Oryctolagus cuniculus: one gene and its partner. The protein of the gene in region 1 interacts with the protein of each later gene in a biochemical or structural test. Links are inferred from orthologs where the notes say so. Each region holds a gene or a part of one and is shown on either strand. Other genes may lie near its edges.

The links.
Region 2: the proteins of ITCH (region 1) and HNRNPUL1 form a complex in vitro, tested with the Homo sapiens proteins (2 studies listed by BioGRID and IntAct, with this or other methods). The link is inferred for Oryctolagus cuniculus from reciprocal best matches to the Homo sapiens genes ITCH and HNRNPUL1.

The regions. Positions count from the first base shown.
Region 1 is NC_091442.1:23,709,061-23,713,584, forward strand, and holds the start of ITCH (E3 ubiquitin-protein ligase Itchy homolog), read right to left. Parts: upstream 3,021-4,524; 5' UTR 2,889-3,020; exon of another isoform or gene 2,308-2,888; intron 2,241-2,307; exon of another isoform or gene 2,052-2,240; intron 1-2,051. UniProt on the Homo sapiens protein: Acts as an Acts as an E3 ubiquitin-protein ligase which accepts ubiquitin from an E2 ubiquitin-conjugating enzyme in the form of a thioester and then directly transfers the ubiquitin to targeted substrates.
Region 2 is NC_091449.1:13,345,127-13,349,802, reverse strand, and holds the start of HNRNPUL1 (heterogeneous nuclear ribonucleoprotein U-like protein 1), read left to right. Parts: upstream 1-1,688; 5' UTR 1,689-2,014; coding exon 2,015-2,309; exon of another isoform or gene 2,310-2,542; intron 2,543-2,567; exon of another isoform or gene 2,568-2,780; intron 2,781-4,676.

The DNA.
Region 1 (4,524 bases):
CAGAGTGCTTGGGTCCCAGCACTCATGTAGGAGACCTGAATGAGGCTCCTGGCTGGCCCAGCTCAGGTGATTGTAGACTTTTGGGGAGTGAACCAGCAGATGGAGGATCTCTCTCGCTTTAACTCTGCCTTTCAAATAAAAAAATAAATCTTTAAAAAAAAAATACGTGGCACATATAAAGAAGGGTACTACACAGTCTGTGAAAAATAAAATTGAAAGATAATTTTGGTGCAACATATTTTGAATCGATTCATAGCTTTTCCATAAACTTAATGAAGACTCCTTGTAACCCACTAGGTAACCATCAGCTGGAGGCAACACTAGTTAAACATAACACATTTCCAGAGAATCCACGCAACCAGAATCCTTCTAAACACAATTCCTCTGACAGCTACTTCAATTCAAGTTGGCCTATAAACCAAAATTTATTTGCCAAAATCGAGTACATAATATCTCCAACTCTAAAAATTGAGTATTAAATTTCGGTAGACTGTCAAAAAACACCTCCAACAAGCCTGAATCACCTGTGTTGACAGTCAATTTCAGTCAAGTTATCTTCTAAATCGCACCTGACATGGTTCTAATTTCTTATATGCTTGTGAGTAATTCACTCTAATACTAGTAACGTAAATAACCTGGCAATGCTATTCAGACTCACTAATGGGTTCCTTTGAGAGAAAAGCAGCCTGTTACACAGACTTGCTTCCCTGCCAAAATCCTCATCCAAAAATACAGGAACAAACCACACTAGTAAAAAGCTGAATCCAATCCCTTACCCATCCCAGCTGTCTCTCCCGCAACATCAGGCTTTGTCACTTCTCACCTAGACTTCTGCAACAGCCACTCTTCCAACCTTTCTCTGGTATCAGAGCAATCTTTCTAAAACGCAGGCGCTCACCTCTCATCCCTGTGTAAGAATCAGCATGTTTCCAGCGACAACAAAATTCAAAATTTCCAGCATTATATTTAGAACATTTCACATAGCTGCTTCTTTTTACCTTTCATTCTTCACATCTCATAAAGCTCTCCTTCCCTATCCCACTCTCTGCCCGCTCCCGGAACCCTTCTTCCAGCCATCACATAGGGTTGAGATGTTCCCTCTCTCTACCCCTCTTCCTCACCTTTGTCATGTAACTGCTCATCACCTAAGATCCAACACAGGTCTAAGGGCAGGTCTAGATTCCTCCTCTGGCCAACCCCTAGTCAGAACTAACCACTTCCTCGTCTCTCAGTCTCAAAAGTTTCTTGAGCTGTCCTTGGTATGTCCACAATACTGTTTACCTCAGTAGTTCCCAGGCCCATTAGAATCACCTGAGGCATGTTCTGAAAACAAACGGAAGCCAACCCAGATCTATTAAATCAATCTCAGACGGAAGAAGCTGGATGTCTACTTTTAAAAAAAACATTACCCTAATGGTCATATTTGGAGACCGCTGGTTTGCCTTTCTCTTGCAATAGGTGTAAAGATGTGTTTTTTAAAAGACTGTAGAAATTATTTACTTTGGACTACAGTGAAGTTCTGTGCACTCTTTTTTTTTTTTTCATTCTCACATTATCACTGCTGCCTTGACCCGCACGCTGAAGATGAAGTCCTTTTGGACTTATACCCACTGTTCTAAAAAGCAGAATTTCCACTTTCATTTTTAAATCCGAAAAATGAAGTCATTGCACCTTGAGTAAACATGTCAATACACCGTGCAGGCTCTCACCAGATCTGCCATGATAACTTTCAGAGAAGCAGCAAGTCCTTCGCCGATTCTGCCGGTGGAAATAACACTGCCTTTACCTATTTCCTTAAAGTCGAATTATATTAGGAACAGATGCAGGGCGATCCACCTAAGTCCGACCACAGGAGGCTGGCTCCAAAAAAAGGCTCAATAATTTTCAAAGAAAAACCCCACTCTTCCTTCCCCACCCCCCATCCAAAGCAAGTATACTACAGCGGTGTTAGAACGGCAGAAAATGTAACAAGACTAGGATACTAATATAACCACAAAACCCGCTGAGTTGTTCTGGGGGAAAGGAGAATTTCGGATACTTCGCAAGTTCACCTCGTTACTTCTCTGACTAACTTTAGGCCCGACGATGACCTCGGGAGCACAAATCCCGTTTCTCCAAAGTCGCGGCCCGAACGGAGTCTCCAAACTTGAGTTCACCGCTTCAAAGTCTCGTCTTCCTCACGTTTCGGCCCTTAGAACACATTCACAGCTACTTTCTTCTCTGCTAAAGAAAAGGGCACTCTTCGGACCAAGGGCAGTGACAGCTCCACGTCTGCACAAGTCGGCGCCGCGGCGGCGGTGGCGGCGGGCGCCGGGGAGGGCGCCCGGCCCGGGACCACCACGCGGGGGGACAATGGAGGGAGGAGGGGAGTGGAGGAGACCAGAGGAGGCAGCCGCCGGGCTGGGCCCTCCTGGAGACCAAAGGCTCGGCAAAGTCCCGGGAGGGCCAGACCAGAGGCAGGTGGGCCTGGCCGCCGCCCCTCACAGGGCCACGTAGCCCGCGGCCGCCCGGCCCCGCGCGTAGGCCGGGCCTCGGGAGAGTGGCCCCCGGGAGCGGCGGAGGGGCGCGGGGATGGACCCTGCCCACGTCCGCCGCGGCCCATCCCGCTCACAACTTGAGAGCCCACGAGACGAGGGGGTCGGGGCAACTCGGCAGGCGCCGGCCCTGCGGTGTGTCTGGCCGATCCGAGCCCTCGCCCGGCCCCGGCCACTGGCCCGTGCTCCCCGCGCCCCCCACGAACACCGGCTAGGAGGGCAGGAGCAGCCGCAGCCGCTGGGGCGGTCCTGGCTCGGGCGCCGCACTCCTCGACCCCTCGTTCTCTCAGGTCATTCTCACCCAGGCTTCCCCCTCCTCCCAGAACCGCCCCCAGTCAGCCCGCGGGTGTTTACCGGGACTCGGGGCGGCGGCGACTCCTCAGTCCCTCGACTAAGATGGCAGCCGGTCCCGAGCCCCGACCACAGCGACTAAAGCGAGTTAGCGGCCAATGCGCAGGCGCCTCCACTCGGGAGCGGCCCGGACTACAAGCCCCAGCAGGCCTTGCGCGCCAGCCAGCTGCCGGGCCGGGAGAGCTGGGGGCTGGTGAGAGCTGCTAAGTGGAGTTCTTCCCAGCCCAGGTGAGGACTCCAGTGGCTCCCAGCTCCGCTTTCTTTTTCCTTTTTTGTTCTTAGCACCCCGCCCACCAGAACCTCTGAAGACTGTAGCTGGAGTTGCCAAACTGCAGTGTGCATAGAATCGCCTGAGGGGCTTTTTAAAACTTACACTGCTGAGCTCCCGCCCCCAGAATTTCAGTAGATTTAGGACAGAGTCTGATCATTTGCATTTCTTTTTTTGTTTTTATTTGAAAGGCAGAGTGACAGCGAGAGGGAGAGACAGAGAGATTCCATCTGCTGGTTTACACCTAAATGGCCGGGCCGAAGCCAGCAGCCTGGAAATCCCTCTGTGTCTCCCACGTGGGTGGCAGAGACCCAAGCACCTGGGTCATCCTCCCCTGCCTCCCGGGATGCTTTGGCAGGAAGCTGGATTGGGAGCGAGCCGGAGGTGGGACTGGATCCCAGGCACTGTTATATGGCATGTCTGTGGGCATCCCAAGTAGTGGCTTAACCCACTGCGCTGCAGAGGTGGCCCCCAGCTTAGTCCCTAAAAACAGACACTGAGTGGACTCAAATCCTCCTCCTCCAGCCTTTAACAGGGAGGCTTGGGGATGATGGGCGTGGTGAGGCGCCCGCGTGGTTGGTGTTCTCTAGGAGTGAGCACCCAGCTCCCTTCCTGCTCACAACACATCAATGAGAGAAGGACCGTTGTCACCTGGCCTCACAGTCACATACCGGATAAGAACCTGGGCAGTCTGCCTTCCCATCCCTCCGCCCAAGTCCTGCACAGTTGTTTGTGAGAAGTAATAGGCCGTGCAAGTAGTGACTCAGGCACAAGGAAGCGCTCCGTAATTAGTGACCTTTGCTATTATTATTTAGCCTGTTTCCTCCTAATGAAAATACTGTTTTACCATCTGGAAAGTCACACTTTTCAAAGTACTTTCAAAACCACTGTGGTTCCGCATTACCCCCTTTGGACAGCTTGTTAAAAACAGATTCCAAGGACCTACCCCACTCAGATTCTCTAGAGCAGGGAGTCTTGCAGTCAGGACTCAACCACCTGCAGGTGGTTCTGTGTTTAAACCACAGATCCCTGGGGGCCCTGTCTGCTTCTGATTCCATAGGTCTGCGGTAGGGCCTGAGAATTTGCATTTTTAATATAATTTTTGGCAGCTTTTTCTCATAACAAAGTTTTTGGAAAATCTTATTTTTTTTTTTCTTTTTGAGAGGCAAAGAGAAAGATGTTCAATCTGCTGGTTCACTCCCCACATGGCTGCCACGGCTGGAGCTGGGCAGATCCAAAGCCAGGAACCAGGAGCTTCTTCTGGCTCTCCCGCATGGGTGCAGGGGCCCAAGCACTTGGGCCATCTTCCACTGCTTCTCCAGGCCATAGCAGAGAGCTGGACCAGAACTGGAGCAGCCAGGACTTGAACCA
Region 2 (4,676 bases), on another chromosome or scaffold:
ATCTGCATTCAGCTGCGATGCGGCCCCTCTCCCCAGCCATTCAGTTTCTCTGTCAGTACCAGGAAGGGTGTGGTGGGGTCTACGAAAGTCTCCTCCCTAGAGAGGTCTAAATGAACACTGTACATCGAGGCCAAACACACACAATCAGGCAGACACCCAGCGGGAAGAGGAAGAAACTTGAGCAACAGATCCAAAGTGATAGAAATCCTGAGACACGGAGCAGAACAGGTACCCACAGTCCAGGAAGAGAAACGCGGGCACAGAACCCCTCCGGTAGTCCCGGGTCCACCAGGGGAGTCCGCTCGCTGCCCTGGGCGCGCAGTCCAGGGTGTGTCCGGGAGCGGACCGAGGAGCCCCTGGCAGCGCCCGGACGCCCCCCGGTGGCGGCTCCCGAGAAGCCGGGACGGTTCAATCCGGGCCACAAACTTTTTTAGAACAAATCGTTGTGCAAGGCTGGGAGGAGAGAGGAAGTCGGACGTGGGCGAGGGGCGGGGTGTCTGGACTGGAACCTCCGGGCCCACGTGAGTGTCTGTCCCGCCGCGGAGTGGGTGCTGCGTGTCCGGGTGGCTGCAGTGGCACTGTCCGCTGGGTCGGTGCGGTGTGGGGCCGCCCGGCCGCGCGGAGCTTCGCGGGCACACCTGCGCTGCCGGTGTGCTGCACCTGATCCGACCCGAGCCTGGGGGTGTATCTGCGCGGCGCGCGCCTTTGTCTGCTCCGCTGGAGTGTGGCGGGTGTGGGCCTTGCGTGCCTCGGCTGTGTGTCTGACTCCGGGTTTGTCCGTTTGAGTTAGAGGCGACAGGTGGCGCGGCGTTAGACGCCGGGGAACTCGGGCGTCCGTGTTTATTAGCGGGAGGCCCGATCCGCGTCTCTGAGCCCGTCGGCCAGGTGCCCCGGACAGCCATGCAGAGGGTCGGGGAGGGGACAGCCGCTCAGTGCGGGGCTCTACCCGGAGAGGGGCGGCTCCACGGCCTCCGCGAGGCTGCGGTCGCGGACAGAGGCCCCGCGAGGCGAGCTGGCCAGGGGATGGACACGCGGTTTCCTTGACAACTTTTCTCTCGTCGCTGGCCTAGCCTCTAGTATCAAACCTGCAGGACTCGCCAAAGTTCCGTTTTTCATTAAAAAAGTAATAATAAAACAGCCGAGTTCCAGATTATGAATAATATATCTGTTTAATATCTACTCCATATGCCTCCCTCTACGGCGAAATTTGTGAGGCAAGCCTCTGAAAAACGGCCAATCCTGTTAGCTTTTCCTCAAGCGACCCATCTCTACCGGCCCTCAGTGAGATGAGACAATAAATGCAATTGGTGGACAGATTGTTTTGAAACCGCCCTAACGGCAAGGGGCGGGTCCTTCGTGAATTTTTCTCTTTCCGGTTTCTTAAAGGCAACAGGAAGGAGGGGTTTCTACCGACCCTCGTTTTGATTGGTTCTAGTGACTTTACCCGCTCGTACTCCTCAAGGGGCGGGAGATGTAGACAAATCAGAATGTGTGTTGCAAAGACACTTAGCTCGATGAAAGGACTTCGCAGGAAAGGCGGGGGGGGGGGGGCGCTCATTTTGAGAGCCCAAGGTTGATTGGACTAAATCGTTACTCCCCTTTTCTCATTCGACCTTACAGCAGCGGGCGCGCGGGCGCCATCCAATCAGCTGGCGCTCCGCCTTCTGCCTTTTCCCGCCCTCCGCTTGGGCCGCGTCTTCGACGTAGGCCAACGCTTCCTCCCTGGCTGCTCGTAGGCCCTCTCACTGTCGTTATTTTGAAAACTGTGCTCTAACTGGCTGAGTCTCCGGGCCCGCGCCCGTTGCCCCCGCGCGCTGGCCAATTGACACCCGTGTTGCATCGTACGGCGCACTGGGAGGGGGAGGTGGCGGCGGCGGCGGCCATTTTGAGCCGCCGCCGCCATTGGAGTAGCCCCCCCCCCTTTCCCCCTTCGCCTCCTGACAGGAGAGGTTTAAGGGGGACAGAGCCCTGGGAGGCCGGGCCGGGCTCGGGGGCCGCCCCGGGGGCCCGGGCCATGGATGTACGCCGTCTGAAGGTGAACGAACTTCGCGAGGAGCTGCAGCGCCGCGGCCTGGACACTCGCGGCCTTAAGGCCGAGCTTGCTGACCGGCTGCAGGCTGCGCTGGAGGCCGAGGAGCCCGACGACGAGCGGGAGCTCGAGGCCGACGACGAACCGGGGCGACCTGGGCACAACAACGAGGAGGTCGAGACCGAGGGGGGCTCCGAGCTGGAGGGGACCGCGCAGCCACCGCCGCCCGGGCTGCAGCCGCACCCGGAGCCCGGCGGCTACTCGGGGCCGGACGGACATTGTGAGAGTGCGCGGGGCGGGGGCCGGGGAGCCTGGAGTCTGGGCCAAGATAGGGCTGTGGGACGCGGGAGTCCGGCGCCCGAGGTCGGGGACTTGCTGTGAGGATCGGGGGGTCCTGCGATCGGCCGCCGCGAAGGATCTGGGGACCGGGGCCTCGGGACGGCCGGCGGGTGGATTCTGGCATTCGGCGCGGGGGAGAAGCTGGGGGTGGGCGCTGTCGGTGTCGGAAAAGAGGTGGGTCCAGGGAATGGGGAGGGTTCTGGACCTTAGGGCTCGGAGACCGGAAACCGTGGTTTTTGGAACCGAACGGAGTCGGAAGAAAAAGAGGTTTTCTATTTAGGGGCTTGGGGAGAGGCTTGGAAATGGTGATCCTGGGGTTTGCAGCAGGGTGGGCTGGGCGTTAGGAGCCGCGTTTCCAGCTTCGGGACGGAGAGGCCGGGGTCCTGGCCGGAGCGGCTGATAGGGTCCTGAGGTGGGTTGATGAGATGGAGGCACTGGTGTCTGTGCGGTGGACTGGGTGCTCTGGTGTTGGCCGGAGAGCCGTGAGGGGATGTGGGAGACCAGCTTGTTCCACGGGGGGACCCACCTCTCTTCCAGGCTGGGAGGCCAGCCGAGAGGCAGGCGCACCTTGGGCACTGGGTGCTGGGCGATCCGGGGACCTTGTGGTTGACTGCCAGAGGCGGCACCAGGAGCCTTGGTGTCCTGAAGCTCGTGGGGGCAGGAAAGATGCTTCCCTGGACAAAGGACCCGGGAGCCTGGGACTGGGCAAGCTCTCCGGGCCGGAACTCAGTGGCTGTGCTGAATGGTCCTGGTGAACGGGGCAGCCGGGATAGGACGGGCGCAGAGAGCAAGCTGGTAGTGCTTGAATTTGGTGAAGTAACCGAGGGACAGGGGATCCTTGTGTCCAGCACGGGAGTGTGTAGCTGTCTGGGAAGATGGGGGAGGGGGAGTGAGTGAGTAATGGAAGGAGAAGGCAAGCCTGTTGACTTGGTCCCCGGGGGCCTCGGGGTGTTGTTGGGGGGAGAGGTGGGGCTCAGCATCTCCCGGTGAGGGTTCCTTGGTCCCCAGAAGCAGTTACTTGCGTGCCCAGGGAGTATCTGCATCAGCCAATAGGAGTGAGTGTGGGAGTGGAGGGATTAGGGTAGGCCTGCAGCTGTTTGAGGAGCAGAGACCTGGCATGGCAGAGAGTGAGTCTGGAGTTAGCAGAGGGCGACTTTTTTTCAGCACTGGGACTGCAAAGATGGGAGGAAGAGAGGTTAAGGGGGAAGGACTGTGGTGTCCAGGGCTTCTGGGGGGTCTGTGGAAAGGGCACCCTGGGGCTGGGGGGAGAAGGTGAGAGGAGAAATGGGGCCATGGAGGAGACTTGGGGTTGGCACTGGGTCCTCGTTCACGAGAGATGTGGCAGCCTGCGTGTAAATTTGGAGTGGAGAACAGCCCAGTGACTGTCCAGGACCCAGGTGCTGGCAGCGTGCGTGGCGTGGCAGAGACCTGGGAAGGAAGAAGTGGCCCGGCGAGCTTGTCTGTAGAGTGGGAGCCCCCAGTGGGGCAGAGTTCCGGGAGAGCAGGGTGGTTGGATGCCTCGGCACGCAGCCTCTAGACTGTTTCAGGTTCGGCTCCGTGACTCGGGCAGGGTGCTTCATCTCCGTGCGTCTGGTTTCCTTGTGTGTAAAATGGGGTTACAGGGTTGTTAAGAATGAAGTCACGCGTGAAGGGCCTCTCCCCAGGTCCGCCTGCTGATGAGGAAAGCGGCGTTTAGGGGATGGAGAGGCACCCCAGCATCTTGGCTCCCTGGGCAGGCTGCTCCGGGCCCAGAGGGATGCTTAGAGAGGCTTGAGGCTCTGGGGCACACACTGCCTAGCGCCTGGAGGAAGCAGCTGGGCTGAGAGGACCTCACATCCCAGGGAAGATGACGTTCCCTCTCTTCCTCTCGCCCTGCCCTCTGCACCAGAGTCCTTTGAGTGCCCTCCACACCCCTGCGACCCTCCCTCAGCCTTGGTAAACAGACCTGTAAGGCACCACGTGACCTGAGACTTTTCTCCCTTTGGGCCGCACCAGGTTTGTGCCCAGATGTGTTTGTCCTCTGAGAAAGCATCCAGTCAGTCAACAAGTGGCAGGATAGGCTCTGCTTCCCCGTGGTTCTGCCTCACTGCTGCTGGCACAGCCGTGAGGAGGACTCGGGAGGCACCCAGCAGAGAGCGGCCCCTGGGGCCGAGAGCCGGTGAGCTGCTCGCTGGTGCTCACTCAGTCTCCAAAGCCCTCTCAGGTTTGCCTGCAAGGTTCTGCCCCTTGAGAGAGTGTCTGGGTTAGGGGGAAGGTCTGGTTTCAGTCCCACCTCTGAGCTTTCCTGTGCGGTATCCCAACCCCGGCA